2 linked regions of the Notamacropus eugenii genome follow. Each later gene encodes a partner of the first gene's protein in a complex. Links are inferred from orthologs where the notes say so. Each region holds a gene or a part of one and is shown on either strand. Other genes may lie near its edges.

Region 1 (10,098 bases):
CTCCATCATCCAAGTCAGAAATGTCAATCTTGTCCTCACTCTCACTCACCTCATATATCCAATTTGCTGCCAAATATCTTCACCTCTCTCACATACTCATTCTCTCCACTCACAGCCACAACCCCAATTCATGTCCTCTTCACCTCTCACTTGGACCATTGCAGTAACCTAACTGGTTTCTTTGACTCCAATCTCTCTCACTGCAGTCCATCCTTCACTCAGCTCCAAGTTGATTTTTCTAAAGTGTAGGTCTGACCACACTGCCTCCTTACTCAATGAGGTCCCATGACCTCCCATTACCTTCAGAATCAAAGATAAACTCTTCTGTTTGGCATTTAAAGCTCTTCAAATTCTGTCTCCTTCCTATCTAATTTCTTATACTTTACTTTCCCCTTCATAATCTACATTCTGGCTATACTGCCCTTCCTGCAGTTCCTCACACAAAGTACTCCCATCTCTGTGCCTTTTCAATGGCTGTCCCCATGCTTGCAATGCTCTTCCTCAGCCTCTCCTCTCCTGGCTTCCATTAAGACTCAATTAAAATTCCACCTTCTGCAGGGTGCCTTTCCTAGTCCTCCATACACTGTTAGGGCCTGTACATATCTTGTAAATACAATTTTATTCATTTTTCTCCTCCATGGAGGACAGGAACCATCATTTAGCCTTTCATTGTATCCCTAGTGTTTAACGTAGTGCCTGGCACATAGTAAATTCTTAATAAATGCTTGTTGATTGATTACTTTTCTTGTCTTCCAGTATGGGTTTTTTTAAGACTTAACTCAAATTCCACCTTTTGTAGAAGATTTTTCCTGCCACCCCAGCTGCTAATGCCTTCCTTTCTCAGATTACTTTCTACCTATGCTATACAAGTGTTCCAAAAATCTTAGTGCAGTTTAAAGCTTTAATAACTTAAACTTTAAAGTTTTATAAGGCACTAAATTTTTTGGCATGCTCTTATCACATATGTATTTAAGTACTTACATGTTGTCTCCCTCAATATAAGGTGAGCTCCATGAGGGAAGGGCCTTTCATTGTTTTTCTTTACATCCACAGCACTTAATATAGTTGCTTAATAAATGCTTGTCAACTGACATCCCAGAATCTGCATAGGAACCTTCTCATTCAAAGTAATAATTGCCCGACTCTAGATTTTGTAAAAAAGGCATGGGTGGGACTAGATGGTGTCTGAGGTCCCTTCCAAATCTGAAATTTTGTGATTCTTAAGTTGATGTTCAACATAACATTGAGGGAAAGATGTAATCAAAAAGCATTTATTAAGTTCCTTCTCTAACCTTTAGGTGCTATACAAAACAGAAGAAAAATAATACATGGTACTGCATTCTAGGACATTATAATCCAGTTGTGAAGACAAAACCACAGCACACAAGGGGGAAAGAAGCAACCAGTGCAACAGTATATAATTAAATGTTACAGAGATTCAGAGAGGAAGATTAAGTGGGGACTACAGTATGGGGTGGGAGGAAGCTTTGATTTTAGAGCCAGAAGACTCAAATCCCAGCTGAGTCACTGATACCTCTATGACCTTGGGCTTGCACTTGACCTCTCTGGGCTACAGTTCCCTCATCTATAAAGTGAGAGGGTTGGATCAGATGACCTCTGAGGTGTCTTCCAGTACCAAACTATGATCTTATGGTCTATAAAACAAAGAGGTTGGACAATGTGATTTTGAAAGCTCTAATTCTATGACCCTATGATCTTAAGATTTCATGGAAATTTGAGCCTTGAACGTGACTTTGAGACAGGCAGGTAGTAGTTGGAAAAGCAGATGGGATAAAGGATGATGAGTCTCAGAAACAGGACATAAACCCAGGTCTTCCTAGTTCCAAGGCCAGCAATTCACCCAGTATATCATACCTTTCATACTACTTAATATTCCCCTCAAAAAACATGGTACAGGAATAAGTATATAAGTAAGGAATTAGCAATAAGAGACCCTGAGGTTGAAATCAGGTTTTGCAACTTATAAACTGTGTAATATTGCCAAGTTACTTAACCTTTCTAGGCCTCAGTTTCCTTATTTGTAACATGAGGAGGCTAGACTAGATGATGTCTGAGCCTCTTTCAGTTCCAAATATGTGATTCTGCAACCTTCTTATCTTTTTTATTCCATTCTTTCTATGTGAAATGTCTCCCTGCTTATCTATGCCTGTCAAAATTCTAGCCAACCTTCAAATCACAACTTAAGTCAACTAAGAATACTTACTGATCCCATCTCCTCTGAACTACTATATCTCTATGTTTGCACAACCCCTGGCACTTTTCATATACTATCTTATTATAGTATGGTGCAATGGAAAGTGCACTGGAGGTTTTCAGAAGAAGAAAGCATAGCTATTGATAGTCACATGAAAAAATGCTCTAAATCACTAATAATTAAAACAACTGTGAGGTAGCATATCACAACTATCAGACTGGCTAAGATGATGGAGGAGGAAAGTGAGAGATGCTAGAGGGGATGTGGGAAAATAGGTACACTAATGCACTGTTAGTGGAGCAGAGAGCTGATCTAACTATTGTAGAAAACAGTTTGGCACTATGCCCAAAGAACTGTAAAACTGTGCATAACCTTTGACCCAACAATACTGCTAGTAGGTCTCTATGCTAAGATATTAAATAAAAAGGGACAAGATCCCACATGTGGAGAAATATTTACAGAAGTTCTTTTTGTGATGCCAAAAAAATGGAAATGGGGGAAGCCCATCAGTTATAAGATGACTGAACAGTTATGGTATATGAATTTGATGGAATACTATAATGCTGTAATAAATGCTCTAAGAATGCTGTATGATGAAGAGGTCAGTTTTAGAAAAACCTGGGAAGACTTATATGAACTGATATAAAGAGAAGTGAGCAGAACTAGGAGAACACTGTACACAGTATTGGCAACACTGTAACGATAATCAACCGCAAAAGACTTAGCTACTCCGATCAAGTTCCAAAGGGCTCATGATGAAAAATGCTATCTACCTACAGATGGAGAACTGAGGGACTAGTACAGATTGAAGCATCCTTTATCTCTTTTTCTTGCTTCTTTTTTCCACCACAACATGGCTAAAGTGGGAATGTTTTGCAAAACTTCATATGTATAATCAGTAACATATTTCTTGTCTTCTTAATGGGTGGGAGAGGGGCTGAAAGGAGGGATATAATTTGGAACTGAAAATAAAAATTAAAAAGCAAAAAAGAAAACAAAAAAAAAAGTGTAGTGGACTTAAGAGGCAGAGGTCCTGGGTTTGAATCTCAGATTATCCTATTTATTACCTCTATGACCTCAGGCAAATCAATTTATCTTTCTGAGCCACATCTATAAAATGAAACTGTTGGACTAAACTTTCAACTCTAGGTCTATGACCCTGTATTTTGATATTTTGTATCTCTTCATCCACCAGTCATTGAATCTGCTATTTGTCCTCTATATATCTTGTTTGGATACAATTGTTTTCACATAGTCTTCCCAATTAGACTGAGTTCCTTTGAGAGCAAGGTCACCTTTTGCCTTTCTTTGTATCTTCAGCGTTTAACAGAACCTGGCACATAAGAATAGGCAAAATGAATTACTGATGGACTGAATTAATACCAGTCCAGTACTCCTGTTCCTCCCTCGACAAACACTATTTCCTTCTAATCATTCTGAGTCGATCACTTTTTTACCCTTCTTTTTCAAGTTTTCTCACGCGCCTTCCTTTTTATTGAAATCGTCTGTTTCTCTCAATGTCTTTTAACCTCACGTGAAAGTGACATTTCTTGCCCTTTAACCTTTCCCACCTACAGTATTTCTCTTTCTCTGTTCTCTTGGCTCTGAGCATTTTCTCCACCCCGACTATGGGAAAGCAGACTTAAAGCTTCCTCAAAGTCCCAGCTAAAATCCCACCTTCTACAGGAAGCCTTCCCCAACTGCTATTTCCTACTTAGCCTGCATGGAGCTTGGTGTGTGTGCCTGTGGGGAGGAGGTGGTTGCATGTTGTCTCTCCCATTAGACTGTAAGCATCTTGGGGGCAGGGTAGTCTGGTGGATGAAACGGTACGAAATATAGAGTCAGACCTAGAGTTGAAAGTTTAGTCCAACAGTTTCATTTTATAGATGAGGTTCAGAAAGATAAAGTTTTTTGCCTGAGGTCCTAGAAGTAATAAATACGATAATCTGAGAGTCGAAGCCCCTTGGCACGCAGCAGGAGCTTAATCAACGTTTACCGAACCAAACCGGTCCCACTTCGCCCCCTTCTTCGGCATCGGGGCGGGGGAGGGTCCTCCACACCCCGAGGTGCCTCGCCACCTCTCGCCCTCGTGCCGCACGCTCCCGATCGCTCCCTCACACTTGCAGCTCAAGCCCCCGGGCTCCAGCTCCGGCGCTCCCTCCCCTTCCCTCCGGCCCCGCCCCCCCGGACACCTGAGCCTGTAGCGCCCGCGGCTCCCCGCGAGCTCCGCCAGCTTCTTCCAGCCCCTGCCCTCCGCGGCTCGGTCCAGGGCGTCGCTGAGGCCCCGAAGCGCGGGCTCCCGCAGCCGGTTAATGTTGACAGCCCCCGGGGACGGGGACGCGGTGGCGGTGGGCGCCGGGGAGGGCGCCGGCGGCGAGGCCGGCAGCGTGTGCCCCCACAGCGACGACATGTCCCCCTCTCCCGCTTCCAGGCCCGTCACGCCGCACGCCTCGGAGCCACCTTCCGCTCCCCGTCCTCGGCTCGCTTCTCTTTCCCAGGGCCGGGGGGCGGGGGCGGAAGGACACGTCAGAGGGCGTCTCACCGCACACCGCGGAGGAAGCTGCTTCTCTCCCGGGAGAGAGAGACAGGTTCTCCCCGCTCCCCGCCCCCTCCCCGGGCCCTGGGCCAGCTGGCGAGGCTCGCGCCGGGGGAGCCCATGGCCTACGGGGGCGCGCGCGCGTGCGTGCGTGGGTCTCGCGCCTCACCCGGTTGGAGGCTGGCGAGGCAAGTCCCCCGCCGTTCTCCCCGCCCCTTCTGCCAGTCTGACGCGCCCACGGCGGGCTCTTTAAAGCCAAATAAAGCCTACGGAAAAAGCGGAGGCCGAGGCTGGGGGCGGCGCGGACAGGGACGGGGAGGGGGCCTTGGGCGGGGGAGGGAGCCGCCGCCCCGTATTGAAAGGAGCGGCGCGGGCAAGGGCCGTCGTCCTGGTCCGCTTGGCACCGGAGGAGGAAGACACGACTAGCAACATGGGAAGATCTTGCCCCAGTCGGCGGAAAAGCTTCGTAACCGTTTCCCAAAAACTGAACGGGCCGCCTCCACGGGCTCTGCCTTTCTCCTGAGTAGACGTGGTCAAGCACAGGTCCGCCCACCCCTCCTGGGACTCGCCTAGTCGGGGTTCGAACTGAAGAGGCATGGGAGGTGCTTCGTCCATCCTTATTGACCCCGTGGACTTGACGTTGGGGTTTCTTGGCAAAGATTCCGGATTGGTTTGCCATTTCCTTCTTCGTTCCAGGTTTTTTACGGATGAGGACCTGAGGCAAATAGGGGTTAAGTGACTTAACCTTGGTCACACAACTAGTAACTGTGTGTGGATTTAACTCCCATCTTCCCTACTGCTGCTGCTCTATCCACTACACCACCTAGCTGCTCCTATGAGGTGGTACAATTTAATAAAAATCAAAGTATCCCATCATTCCCCCCTTGAATGAATATGGACTAAAGTCTTGGGGTAAGGGGCAAAGGTCTCTTCTTCTCTAGCTATTTCCTGCTGAAACGGGATGTAGAGCTGTCCCTGCCCCAAGGGGTCCGATTTGGGAGGTCAGTTCTTTAGCTGGCATCTAGAGCTTGGTTGATGCCAGGTTCAGGGGTGACACATCACAGTCATGGACAGGGGGTGATATCCAGCTTAAGGGTCAAGCATTTGCAGTTGGAGGGTACTAAGCCAGCAGGAAACAAATTTAGCAAACAAGTTTAACAGACAAAAAGAAACAAAAAGAAGCAGGGTAGGTAGGGTCAGCCATGCTTCTGGAGTTCATGAACCCACTATCGTAGCCTCATTCACTGTAGAATATATGAGTTAAGGTAATTTGGTAATCATCTTTTCCTGAGTAAACAACAGTTACAGTGTTATCTTTCCTGTGTACTATAATTTCTGCAGCCTTTGGAACATCATCTGGCTTCTGTTTTACCCATATTTTAGCTCCCAATTTTATTTTTTCAGTAGAACCCAACCCTTCAGTTTCTCTGCTAATTATTTTAGAAGGAGAGTCAGTTTTCACAAGGGATATTGTTTCACAAGGAGTAATAATCACTTGAACTATTCTATCAGTTTTATAAAATTGTGTGGGTTCTTCACCTAAATTTTGGATTGTCACAATAATTTCACCTTGATAATTAGAATCTATCACTCCAGCCAACACATGTTTTTGTCAGGCTGGTAATTCTGATTTAGGTAATATCTTTCCAAAATGATTTTTAGGGATTCTCATACATATTCCAGTAGAGATTTTTCTTATTTCTTTTGCATCTAACCTAAAGTCCTCTAAACAATGTAAATCATACCCTCCCAAACCAGGTGTCCCTGGATACAGTGCTGGCCTCACAATCCAATATGCAATATTTGGGATCTTATGTATTTGCAGATTTGGGGTCATCATTCTGGCTAGAGGTGTACTTCTTCCCAATGGTCTATTATTCAAATTACATAAAACAGTGAATAAATTTTCTTTCCAATGTTGATAAGAATTATTAGAACTTAACTTCCTTAACTGTTCTTTCAATAATCCATTCATTCTTTCAATTAACCCAGATGCTTGTGGATAATATGGAATATGATATGTCTATTCTATATTGTTTAATACACAATATCTCTTCATTTTATTACCTTTGAAATGTGACCCATTGTCACTTTGGATCTGCATTGGGGTTCCATAACAGACTTATGATATCAAGAGTTTTATAGATGTTTTTCTCAATTGCATTCTTATAGGGACAAGCCACTAGTACACCTGAATAATTGTCAACACAAGTGCATATAAACTGGCATCCTTTATCTTGGGGTAGGGGTCCAGTATAATCTATTTGCCAAATTTGGGCTGGTACTTTTCCCCTCACTATTTCTTCGGTTACTATCCAAGGAACAGTTTGTTCCTTTTCCAATTGACATATATCACATTCCTCTGCTTCTTGTTTTAACAATGAATGAGTGATACTAATACCTCAGTCTTGTCCAGTGGTGTGTGGCCTGGACTCCTAAATGTCTGGCTGCTTGATGGACCCATTTTGCTAGTATTAGATCATCATTTGGTGTCAGAGTGGGGACAGTATGTTGAATACCAATCTTTGCTGGTTGATCAGCATGTACATCGTACTCACGTTCTGGTGTGGTGAGGGCCATGTGACATCTTCATGAAAAACTGACAAATTAGTAACCAAAGACATGTCCCATATATCCTTCCACAATTCTTTACTCTAGATTTGTTTGCCATGTATTTCCCAATTTTTCCTTTTCCACGTGCTCATCCATGTGGCTAATGCATCAGCTCCCACCCATGAATCAGTGAATATATGACACTATCCTTATCATTCTGTTTTGATAGCCTGATGTACTGCCATAAGTTCAGCATATTGACTACTTCCACCTATCCTAGTACTTTCCAAAGTCCACCTAGTACATGGGTTATAGGCTGCTACTTTCCATTGTCTTTTGTGGCCCAAATATTTTGCTGTCCCATCAATAAATCATGCATGTCTCTTTTGTTTTTCAGATAATTCATCATATCCCTGATTCCATTTTACCAAGGACTGTACCAAATGTTGCTTTGGTTCAGGAGGTATATCATTTCTCCTAGGATCTATTTTTGCTACAGATTCATATAAAGCAGAAACTACATTTTTTCCTGTTTTAGATCTATTTTGAATATGCCACTCCCATTTAATTATGCTAGCCTCTTACGCATGTCCAATTCTGTGAGAAGCTGGGGTACTCATTACCCAGGTCATAATCGGGATTCCAGGCCTTAATATTACCTCATGGTCCAAAGTCAAGTGTTCAGTCTCTGCCAAAGCCCAATATGCAGCTAACAACTTGCTTTTCAAAAGAGGTATATTGAATTCCAGATGAAGGGAGTTTCCTAGACCAAAATCCTAAGGTACATATTGTCTTTGTTATTTTTGCCATAAACTCTGGTTAGCATATTCATCCTGTACAGTCACTTATAATTTCACTGCCACTTTGCATAGTCCATAAATCTAGGGCCAATTGTAGAGCAGCCTTTGCTTCTTCAAAAGCTTTACTCTGCTCAAATCCCCAATCAAATTCATGTGTTTTTCCTAGTAATTTTATATAAGGGTTTCAAATTTGTCCTTGATGTGGTATATGATGTCGCCAATATTCAAATAATCTTATAAAATTTTGGCCCTCTTTCTTATTGATGGGAATAGGAAAATCCTGAATCTTTTGTTGGGCTTGCAGGAGATTATCTCACAGCCCCTTATTCTATAGTATACTCTAAAATTTATGGTTTGAGCTGACCCTCGAATCTTTGCAGGGTTAATTTTTCACCCTTTGCTTTTCATATGCTCAGTTAAAAGTGTCAAACTCTTCTCCACTTCTTTTACATTTTTTCCCCATATCATAGTATCATCAATGTAGTAGGTAAGCTGTACATCAGGTAGCTCTAATTCATCCAAATGTTCATGCACAATACTATGACAAATAGTGATGCTATGTAGATATCTTTGTGGCAAGCATGTAAAAGTATATTGTCAGTTATGCCAAGTGAAAGTAAATTAGTCCCATTGTTTACAATCTATTGGGATAGTAAAGAAAGTATTGGCTAAATCGATAAGTGCATACCAATTCCCATCATATTTCTGGGTCCTTTCTATTAAGGTAACGGTATCTGGAACAGCAGCATACAAGGGAAGAGTCACCTTATTCATTGTCTATAATCCACTGTCATCCTCCACATCCCATCTGACTTTTGTACTTGCCAGATAAATTATTCCATCGAGTGGTTGTAGGGACTAACACTCGTGCCTCAACGTATTGCTTTATAGTATTGGTAATTTCACCTTGCCCACTTGGCACATGATACTACTTTAAGGTAATTACTTCAAAAGGTTCAGGTAGGTGGTGGAGTAGAAGGACTGACCTGTAGAAGCTTTCCCCCCATAGCCCATAAAATGCCTATAAAAATGACTAAACAAATTCTAGAGCAGCACAAGTTACAAACTGACAGGGAAACAGATTTCCAGCCCAAGACAGCTTGGAAGGCCAATAGAAAAGGTCTATCGCACCCCAGGATCAGAGCAGAGTGCAGCCCAGCCTTAGCCATCTGGCATGGACAGGACTGAAGCAGGCTTTGAGGCATGGAATTATGGGTAGCAGCTGTGGTTCCCACATTTCTCAACCCACAAACACCAAAAATAGCTTCAAATATCAGTAAGAAAGCTCTTTCACCTAGGTAAGAGGAGAGCCCTAGCCTCAGGCCCAGGCAGTGATAGCATTCACTTATGGAGCCCTCTGCCTAAAGACTCTGAGGGAATCAAATTACTGATCTGGATCTCAGCTCTGAGTGGTGGTCCTGGAGTGAGGAGAAGTGCTGACTGGCGTGGTGGAGCTGGTGGTGGCTGTGGAGAGGGAATCCTACTCACAGTTCCAGGGCAGAAAAGAGTGCTCACAGACTAGAGCACAGGCCAGGAGAGGAGTAAACTCCTTTTCCTTGATTGTGGCACCTTGGAGGAACTGAGAATTTACAGATCCTTAGAGTATACCCTCCACTTGACAAAGGACTCAAAAATCAAGTAATTGACTAGAAAAATGCCCTATAAAGGGAAAAAATAAGACTATAGAAGGTTACTTTCTTGGTGAAAAGGTATTTTCTTCCATCGTTTTGGAAGAGGAAGAACAAAGCATACCATCAGAGGAAAACATAAAAGTCAAGACTTCTACATCCAAAATCTCCAAAAAAAAAAAAAAAATGCAATGTTTTCAGACCATGGAAGAGCTCGAGAAGGATTTTTAAAACCAAATAAGTGAGGTGGAGGAAAAATTGGGAAGAGAAATGAGAGCAATGCAAGAAAATCATGAAAAGCAAGTCAACAGTTTGATAAAAGAGACCCCCCCCAAAATGCTGAAGAAAACAACACCTTTAAAAATG
Region 2 (10,213 bases), on another chromosome or scaffold:
TAGTACCTGTCTTATTAATATTTGCTAACTGAGAAAATCCATATCAATTAAAAACAGCCATGCATTCTGTAATGCTTTTAAGTGAACATGTGTTGTATTAAACACAAGAGGGCCTATCTATAATTGGAAAATTATAAAGGGATTAGGGACCAGACCAGTGATTTTACTAGCATAGAGAACTCTATGGTGAAGGAATTCTCTATAACAAAACAGGCTGGCATTTTTCCTCTGCAACTAATAGTCTTACAGTTACTCAGAGCACTGACAGCCAGCATGTATCAGAAGCAGGACCTGAACCCAGATATTCCTGAGTCTCAGACCAGCTCTCTGTCTTCTGTAACATGCTACTTTTTTGGGCAGCTAGGTGATGCAGTGAATAGAGAACTCCTGGAGTTCAAATCCAGTCTCAGATGTTTGACACATACTAGCTGTGTGACCTTGGGCAAGTCAATCCCAATTTCTTTTCCTTCCCCTCTCCAAAAAGGCTACCTTTTTATTTGGAAACATAATGATACAAACTGAACCACCAGGAGGTGGTGGAAGGGTAGAGAACCAGCTGCCTGGTTCTTTAAAGCATCAGCAAGGCCCAGGTGCATACTAGATATCTTTCACTGCTTGACTTCATCCTTGACTTTGTAGAATGCTTTTATGCCATCTAGAAGTATATATGTCCATCAGTCATTTGTCTCATACCCCCAACTATTGATCACACCCCTCCCTTTGAGCAGCGGGCAATTCTCAATTATTTAATTCTCAAATGCATGTTTAAAACAAATATTGACCCAAATTAACAAAAGCATAATAGAACAAAAGGATTAAGTTAACATTGCCACTTATTTACCTTTTCATAGAACCACAAGTTCTAAGCTCCCATAAGATTTTTGAGTAATGTGGTTTTAGGAAGATTATTTTGTCAACTGGGTGAAAAAGGAATTGGAGAAGGAGGAAACTGGAGGGAGAGATGTATAAAACAGATTGTTATAATTGCCCAAGGCAACTAAGTCCATAAAGAGAGGGGAACAGTCTAGTTGACATTCTGAAAGCAGAAGCAAAAGGAAAGGAGTTTGGAGAAGGTGAGGATATATGGTTTGCTTTATACACATTGAAATTGGGGTGGTAGTGAGATGTTAAGGCAGCTACAGGTGTGGGTCTGAAGTTCAGGAGAGATAGAGAGATAAAGCTTGGAAAGATAAACTTGGAAATCATCCACAAAAGATGATAATAGAGACCATGCATTCATCAGGTGAGAGAATGTAAAGAAAGGAAAGAAGAGGACCCAGGAGAAAACTTGACAGAATAGGAGATAGATGAGAGAACAGACAGGTAGGAGACTCCAGAGAGAGCAGTATCAGGAAAGCCAAAAACAAAGAGAGTATCAACGAGGAGGAAGGAGAGGAAATTGTATTAAAAGCTACAGAGGTCAAAGACGAGAACTAAGAAAAGGACATAGGACTTAGTAGTTTAAAAGATCATTTAAAGGACTGAATGTGGAGGATGTTTCAAAGTCCTCAGCAGAGAAATAGTATACAGTTAAGATAAGAAAGAGATTTGGCCAATAAATTGATCTGCTTCGAGTCTACCTATTTTGTTGCAAGATAGGGTTCTGTTTCAAAAATCCTCCTTTGATTTGATCATCCCCACTGACTATTATGGCTTTTTTAAGGTATTTAGCCATGAAGGAGAGGAGAGATATAGACCACTCCTTCCTTTCATGGCTAGGTAACTTGAAAAAGTCATCTCTCTTCTCAATTCTTTCTCTAAAATCTTTTGCAATGTGTTTTAGGAAGATTATTTTGTCTTGGAAAAAGGAATGAAGAAGGACGAAACTGGAGACAAGGATACTAATTAATTAATTGATAGTCTAAATGGCAGGTGATGAGGTTTCTGAGTCAAGTTTCTGACACGGCCATTCAACTGAAACTACACTCCAAAGTAACCAAGGATCAAGTCTTATTTACCAAATTTAATAGCTTTTTTTGATCCTCATTCTTTTTGAACCATATTCAGTCTTTGACATTGTCAATCACTCTTTTCTACTGCTTATTCTCTCTCTTTTAGGTATTCATGACATTGTTCTCTTCTGCCTGACTCCTCTTTCTCATTCTTTTTTGCTGAATCTTCATCCAGATTACACCCAATAATTGTGGTTGTCTCCTAAGGTTCTGTCCAAGAGTTTCTTCTCTTCTCCCTCTATAGTATCTCATTTGGTTACTTCATCAACTACCATGGGTTCATTATCAACTCTATGTAGGTGATTCCCAGGTTATATATTCAGCCCTGTCATCTGAGCTCCAGTCTCGCATCACCAATTCCCCAATGGAAATCTCCAGGTGGATGTTCCATAGATATCTTAAGACTCAACATGTCCAAAACTGAACTCATTATCTTAGTCCACTCCCAAACCCTCCTCTCTTCCTAACTTTCTTACTACTATCAAGGTCACCACTATCCTACTCGGTCGCCTTAGTGTCATCTTCAGTTCCCCATTCCATTTCACCCCACCCACATAGCCAATCTGTTGTTAAGGCCTGTCAATTTTACTTTACATCTCTTGTATACTCCCCAGTCTCTCAGGAACAGACCCCTCATCACCTTAGACCTGAACTTTGACAGTAGCCTTTTGGTTGGTCTCCCTGTTTTAAATCCATCTTCCACTCAGGCACCAAAGTGGTTTTGGTGACCATTTCACCTTTGGTCCCTTCCCCTTCCTACTCAATAATCTCCAATGGTTCCCTATTAGCTCTAGGAGTGAATATAAATATAAAATCCTCTTAACATCTAAAGACCTTTATAACAAGGCTCTTTCCTACACACTTTACTCCCTTCCTTTATTCTATGACCTAGTAATACCAGCTTTCTTGATGTTCATCAGACATGATGCTCTATCTCCCAACTGAACATTTTATTAGCTACTCTCCAAGCCTAGAATGCAGTCCTTTCCCACCTGCCACTGCTAACATCTTTCCTCTAACATTACCTCCTACTCATACTGCATATATATTGTTTGCCCTTCTTCATATCCCCAACTCTTGGCACAATGCTTGACCATAAGCACTTAATAAATATTTGAGGCAGCTAGGTGATACAGTGGATAGAGTACAGTCAAATGGGTAGGAAGAGAACTAGCAGAGAGTGGTGTCTCAAAAACCTAGAGAGGAGAGAGTGATTAACAATGTCAAAAGCTGCAGAGAGGGCAAAGAGAATGAGGATTGAGAAAAGGCCAGTGGATAATTATTAGTAACTTTAGAGAGTCATTTCAGTGGAAAGATAAGGTTGGAAGTCAGATTGTAAGAGGTAGACAAAGAGTCAGAGGATAAAAGGTGGAAGTGCCTATTATAGATGGTCTTTTGAGAAGGTTAGCTATGAAGGGCAGAATATAGGCCTAATGGGGGCAGAAGAATAAAGTCAGAGGTTTGGTTTGCTTTTGTCTTCAGGATGGAAGAGACATGAGCACGTCTGCAATAGGCAGTAGGAAATAAGGCAGTAGACAAGGAGAGATAGAAAATAAATGAAACAGTGCCATGTAAGTATTTCAGGACTTTTCCCCTTTAGACTTATTACTTTGTGAATATAGGAAAAGCAACAATTTAACTGCTAGGATAAGGAGAAATAAGACAAAAGTCACCAACCCCTTTCAGTTGCTTCCCCTTTAGCCCCTCTAATTTACATAAACCCATGTAATTTACATAGAAATTATGGGAATGGAAGGAAGGTGAAAAGAATTTCACTTTCAGTCAAATAAGAGTTTGTACAAAAAGAACACAAGCAGCAAAAAAAAAAAAAAGAGCTCAAAAGACAAAGGGTATGAGGACTTTTCTTTCTGTCTAACTAGATGGGTCCATATGGGTAGGGCTGCCTGCACTTATAAAGTCTGTAGCCTTAAACTATGAGCTTTTCAGAGTTGAAATCCTACCAAAAGCTATTTCTGCTCAACCAATAAGCCACACCTGGCAGCTGAGAGCAAAAGCAGCTCAAGGTGAGTGTTCATCAGTGAGCAATCAGCCCAGAAGTCATCTCCATGATGTTACCAGAGGCTCTGTAGCATGAGAGGTTTGGATTGCCCTGGTTATGCACCGTCCCTGTGCGTTTTCCCTCCCACACCGGCGGTATGCTAACTTGTCGGAGAGTATAGCCCTGTGTGTTCTGGTGAGAGGATCTTTATGGTCACTTAGTTTGATGAAATGTCGTTTGCTCTGAAACAATGTTGCACATTGCTGGGTGCTTACAAGCCATGAGTCTGAGTAGATGCAAATCTACAAAGTACTTTGAACCTGCAATAGCTTTTCTGTGGGCTCATGTGTGAGGAGGACCAAGGTCATGCACAAATGAAGTACAGGTATAAATTTAATAAGAGACAGTGTTGAGCAGGGAATAGAAAATTGGCCTTGGAATCAGGAAGCCCTGAGTCTTTGACACAGAATAATTGCTTGACCAAAAGGAAGCCCCTTAATGGCTCATTGCCCCAGTGAGTACTTTTCAGCTTCGTCTGACACTTTGTGACCCATTTGGAGTTTTCTTGGCAGAGATATTGGAGATATTGGTACTTCTCTCAGACCACCCCGTGTTTGTTTTTTACTTGAGTCTGTCCTATCTTCTCTACCATCTAGAGCTGACTCCCTCCAAGGCATTTCACTCCTCTGAGCCTCAGTTTCCCTTTCTAGTTAGACCGAATGGTGCCCTTCCAATTGGCTGCTGCCCGCTGAGACTGGGGATGAAAGAGAAATGCTGCCAGTTTTTTCCGGGAGCCCAGGCAAGAGAGTTGAGATAAACTCCGAGCTAAGTGCTAGAGAAGTGACCGAGACCCCGCCTGGCCCGGACGGAGACCTGAGGAAGGAGCCGGGCCGGGCTGGCGACAGCTGCGGCTGTGGCTCGGACCCTGGCTGGCGTTGCTTTCCCACTGGAAGGGCTCCCTTTCCCACGGACCATGGACAGCAGCAGCGGCGCTTCCATCCTCCTCGAAGACCCGCAGATGTAGGAGTTCTGCGGGAGGGCTGCGCGAAGCATCCCGTGCGCTTCCTCGGAGTCCGGCCACAGAAAACGGGACTGCCGGGGCTCAAAGCCTAAACTGAGCCAGGCGTTCTTACCCGGGGTCCAGCGGAACCGCTCTCTTGTTAACGGAAAGAGGATCCCGCGTTTCCGTGGGCTCGTGGAAAGAAGACCAGACTGGCACGACCTCCGGGTGCGTGCTCGCAGAGATCCGTGACCAGAGAGAGTGCTGAGGTCCGCGAGGATGAAACCCCCACACCTTCTTAGAAAGAAAAAACACGGGAGGAGAGGAGCAGAGGGCCGCGGGCACCGGGGGCTGCGGGGAGAGGCGGAGCCGCTCCCGTGAGAAGAACGAGCGAATGACCGGAAATCGCAGCCCCTCCGGGAGGCCGTTCTTGTTGGGGCCAAAGTCCGTGGAACAGACGCGTGCAATCAATGGAAATCAATGAATCAATCGATCCATCCATCCCTGAGACCCAGCGTTGGCTGCACCAGCTTTGGAGACTAGAAAGGCCGCACGAGCCCCTAGGGAGGGGCGGGAGCATCTCCACTTTACAGAGGAGGAAGCTGATTGGCCAGAAGCCACAGCTCTGGTCTGATGACAGTAAGGCGCTCCATCATCGTTTCACAAGATTAAACTTCCGGTGGGACAAAGCCGGGAGCGCCCGAGCCAAGGAGAGCGGAGGTTTGGACTAGAAGGGAGGGGCGTGGTCTGAATTCCGCGGGAGATAAGAATGGGGAGCGGCTTCCGGAAGGGGCGTGGCCTGCATCCCTCAGGAGGGAGGAGGGAGCTTGGGTGCCCTCTTGGGGGCGTGGTTTGAGGTCCCTCCCCCACAGTGGGTGTCCGTGGTAGGGAGGTGGGGTTAGGGAATACTTGGGTTGTCTTTGGGAAGGGGCGTGGCTTGCGTCTAGCGGGAGTAGGGAAGCGCTAGGAGGCGAGGTTTGCAACTTGGGTCTAGAGTCGACCATAATAGGAGAGGGGCGTGGCTGGCATCCGGAGACGTTAGGGATAGCGAGCGACTAAGGGGAGGGGGCGGAGCTTAAGTCCCATGGGACAGCGAACGTAAGGCGAGCTTTAGTTGGGGGCGTGGTTTGAATTGTGCTTGAATCCCGCGGGAGGAGGGAACGCAGTTTCCGCAAGGGGCGTGGTTCATATCAAACGGGAGGTGGGGAAGGGGAACTGAGAGAGCGTCTTTAGCAAGGGGCGTGGCTTGACCTCAGCACAGGAAGCGTGAGGGGCGTGGCTCGTCCCGTGAGGGGCGGGGTGTAAGGGAAGGCCTCAATGGCTTCCTCCGGGAAGGGGCGGGACCGCTTCGAGTTGGATTGACTGCTGTGCGCTCCAGTCTCGTTCCCAAGCTCGGCTGGGGGCGGGAGTCCCGGCTCGGGCTCGTCCGGTCGGCGCTGCAGCCTCCTCCCTCTCAGCGTAGGGTTGGGGCCGGAACCGGAAGCTGCCGCTCCGCTCCTGGGCCCCCGAGCCCTCCGCTCTCTCGGCTCCTCTCACCCCTTGGGTCGCCGGTGGGGGGCGGGGAGGTGTCCGGAGCCTCTTCAGTCCTGGGGGCGGCGCGGCCTGAGTTCTGGAGCCTCCGCCATGGAGCCCGCCGCGCCCGCGCTGACCGAGGAGGACATGGCCGAAGTAAAGAAGGATGTGAGTGGCGGGGGCCGGGCCGGGGCTGGGCGGGGCAGCTGCATACCCCAGGCCCCCGAAACTCCCAGGGGAGCCGGGCCGGGGGAAGTCCCGGGTTTTCCGTGCGCTCCCAAGAAGGACACCTCCCCCCAGGAGGTGGCCCGGACTCAGGAAGACCTAAGTTCAAGTAGTGATTCCGGCACGTCCTTGCTGGACAACGCACTGAATGCCTGCCTCAGTTTCCCCCACTGTACAATGGGAATAATAAATGAGCACGTATTTGTGGGACACTTAGCAGAGTAGGCCCGATGAGTACTTCCTTCCGCGTCCATGCCCCCTTAGGGCGTTAGAGTCTGGTCAGGCCCAGGGACCTGGGAAGGAATCTAATAGAGTAGTGATGACCGGCGCCGTAGAGCTGGACGGACTGCAGAGAGGTGGGTCCTGAGGCCGGAGCGGCCATCGTTCTCTTTTTCAGGATGAGGAGGTGGGCCAGCTCGGGTCATCCAGCCCGGGCCCAGTCACACGGGTGGCAGGGCTGGAGTTGAGACCCACCCTCCGGGGCCCCACCGTCCTCCGCGCCGCCCGCTTTCCCTGCTCTTTGTCAAGTTAGTGTCCAGGGTTGCGTCCGCCCTGGTGCTTCCCGGGATCCTGATGGCCCTACCAGGGCCAGGTTCCCGCCACGCTCCAGGAGCTGTCTCTAAACTGGGGCTGAGAATGGGTATGGAAAATGAAAAGGCCGTCCCTGCCGTGGTGGCAGTAGTTACTAACGCCCACGGGCTGTCCCAGATGGGGAAAGGCCTTTATCCCCAGAGGCAGAACCAGCTGCTGCTACTAGGAATTCCCCTAAAATGAAAACTCCTACCCATTTAAATGAGACCTTTGGTCTTTCTAGCCTGAGGAAGAAGAGCTGTTGAGTTCTCACAAGTGAGGATACAAATGTTGCCTCAAAAATATCAGTATGATGATTTGGTATCTGTAAAGTGTAAAATATGCAACAGCTGACCTCTCTTTCATAGGTGTTATAAAGCAGCATAAATATTAATGCTTAGTTATAATTAAATGTATTATGTAATCTAGTTAATGTTTACGTTTCCCTTTGTTTTTCATGCAAGTGCTCGCCCTCTAAGATGTCTAAGAATGAGTAATAATTATCCATCATTTTGCGTCTTATTGTTGAGAAATGAAAAAAACAGCTTAGGCAGCATTCTACCTGGCTGGTCCTCATATAGTATCTGAACGTTGAAATCAGGGAATTCTGCCGCTAGGTGGGAGCTCCTGTATTCCAGCAGTATAGCTTAGCTGGCACATAGTAGACACTTATTGTTTGTTGAAATGTGTTTTAATTTGACAGATTAGGAAATTGAGGTCCGTAGTGGCGGTGACTTGCTCAAGGTCGCATAACTGGTTAGTGGCAGATTCAGGATGAGAACCTTGTTCAGTGTTCTTTCCCTTACTCTTTGCTTCCTTTCAACAGATATGCCAGTAATCCTGGAACAAAATGAACAAAGGTTAATTCTAGTTTCTCCTTTCAAGACTAAACTATTTTGTCTAAAGTCCAAAGTATGATTCAGCGCTTTTGACTCACTGTGAAAATAACCATGAATTACCTGTCCCTTTTGGAGGAAATGATTGGAATTTAGAGCCTATAGAATTACTCTAGAAAGCCTGTTTGTATTTTTAAGCATATTAGTATCATAAATTGACAGCTGCAGAGGAGCTTAGAGTTCATCTAGTCCAGTCTGCTGCATCTCCCACTCCTTACAGCCCCTTGGACTTTTATGTCATATTGTAAAAGGAAAATAAATTCACAGAATATTTTAGAAGCTTAGGTATATGACCTTTTGTTTGTGCATTAATGTCTGCCAGGTCAGTGGGAGTACACAGATGAATAAAAGACCAGCATGGATGGGGAACCTTCAGGGAGGCCTCAAGGTCACATGTGGCTCCCTAGATCCTCAAGTGTGGCCCTTTGACTGTTCACAGAACAAATCCTTTTAAGGGTCAAAGTCAAAAGGCCGCACTTGAGAGCCCCACATGTTCCCCACCTCTGGCCCAGAGGCCCACAGTTTAGTAGCTGAGATAAAGTAGATATACAGCTAACTAATACAAGACTGTCAGTGAATACACCATTCTCTTTCAGAGCTTTCGTAAAATCAAATCTTGAGTGTGATTATCCTCTTGGACCCTTCCCTCTCTGGCATAGTTCCCTGCTGTCCTTGACCCCAGCAGGAGGGGCCAAGGTGCAGGTCAAGATTGAGTGATCAGGGTATAGTGGTTTGTATGTTGCAGATAATAACAACAACAATAAAAACCCTGTGAAATATTTCAACAAATGTAAACTGTCCCCAGCTCTTGGCACAGCATTATTTGGGGAATGCATAGGTGATTAGAAGATAAGTCCAGACCCCAGAGAAGCTACAGGTAAATCAGGGAGATGGAACATATGTACAGATAATTGTAGCATGAGGCCAAACAATATAAAGGGTGTTGAGTGGTCCAAGTTTTGTTTGTGTTCATTTTTAAATGAAGTATTATTGTTTCATAGAATTTTTTTTAGCCAGTTTTTTATACCAGGACTTGGAATCGATGGGTTTTTCTCAGTCGTCAGCCTGCTTGACTTCTCTAACATTTGACCCAGTTGATGAGCTTCTCTCTAGGATGCTCTCTCCTCTCTGAGTTCTCCTGACATTGCACTCTCTTGGTGGCTCTTCTACTTGTCTGATCTGTATTCAGTCTCCTTTGCTGGATCGTCATCTATGTCTCACCGCTTAACTGTGGGTTTACTTAAAAGCCACTGTCCTGGATTCTTTTTTCTCTCTCTTCATTTTCTCTTACTTGGTGACCTCATTAGCCCCCTTGAGTTCAGTCATCATCTCTGCAAATGGCCCCCCAATTTATGTATCCATTCCCTTTCTCTCTATTTCTACTTAAGCAACTGACTACTAGACATTTTGAACTTGGTATTCTCTAGGCATCTAAAATGTAAAATGTCCAAAACAGAACTCATTACCTTTTCCGCCCCCTCTTGCTAACTTCCCTATTTCTGTCAGGAGCACCACAGTCACACAAATTTGCAGCCTTGGTGGCATCTTCCACTCTAATAACCTTAAAAAAATTCTTTTCACATTGAATTAAGAAAACTTGAGTACTGAAATAAGATTTTCTGTGACCTTGTTACCACTGGGACTTTCTTAGGAAAAGCTGCAATTAGAGATAAATATAGTAGTTGAATTCCTTTAGTTGAAACAAGTTTCAAAACAGTAAAAAAATGTTGTATTAAATGCAGCCCCCACATAGGTATTTCAGAAAGTTATGAGTCATAACATTGTGAAAAAAATGAAGCACATGAATTTTGGCTCAGGACTACCAGTTCAAATTTTTTTCTTCTAGAAAAGCAAACTTAACTCTAGCAGTAGTTTAGTATATTGTTAAATAAAACAGAATCTGCTAGTAGATTTAAAAACTGTATTTTGAATAAAAGATGGCTTTCTGCCTCTTATTAATAGCAGTTCTGAGAGCCTTCTAGGCTTTCAGAAGAAGAAATTCATCTTTATGTAAAAAGGATTTGCTGTGTATTTCCAAAGCAGCTCATCCCCCCCCAAA

The links. The genes of interacting proteins can lie anywhere in the genome.
Region 2: the proteins of MALT1 (region 1) and BCL10 are in contact, whole or in part, in a cryo-EM structure (PDB 6GK2), measured with the Homo sapiens proteins. The link is inferred for Notamacropus eugenii from reciprocal best matches to the Homo sapiens genes MALT1 and BCL10. Residues at the interface, in NP_006776.1 of Homo sapiens: Asp46, Gln47, Ala48, Pro49, Trp54, Arg55, Leu74, Glu75, Ser78, Leu79, Val81, Leu82, Glu83, Pro84, Glu85, Gly86, Pro88; in NP_003912.1 of Homo sapiens: Leu13, Lys17, Val83, Arg87, Asn93, Gln97, Thr100, Leu104, Arg107, Asn108, Leu111.

Annotation. Positions count from the first base shown.
Region 1 is NC_092875.1:431,331,154-431,341,251, forward strand, and holds the start of MALT1 (mucosa-associated lymphoid tissue lymphoma translocation protein 1), read right to left. Parts: upstream 4,779-10,098; 5' UTR 4,626-4,778; coding exon 4,408-4,625; intron 1-4,407. UniProt on the Homo sapiens protein: Protease that enhances BCL10-induced activation: acts via formation of CBM complexes that channel adaptive and innate immune signaling downstream of CARD domain-containing proteins (CARD9, CARD11 and CARD14) to activate NF-kappa-B and MAP kinase p38 pathways which stimulate expression of genes encoding pro-inflammatory cytokines and chemokines.
Region 2 is NC_092873.1:494,611,621-494,621,833, reverse strand, and holds the start of BCL10 (B-cell lymphoma/leukemia 10), read left to right. Parts: upstream 1-6,199; 5' UTR 6,200-6,574; coding exon 6,575-6,631; intron 6,632-7,932; exon of another isoform or gene 7,933-8,098; intron 8,099-10,213. UniProt on the Homo sapiens protein: Plays a key role in both adaptive and innate immune signaling by bridging CARD domain-containing proteins to immune activation.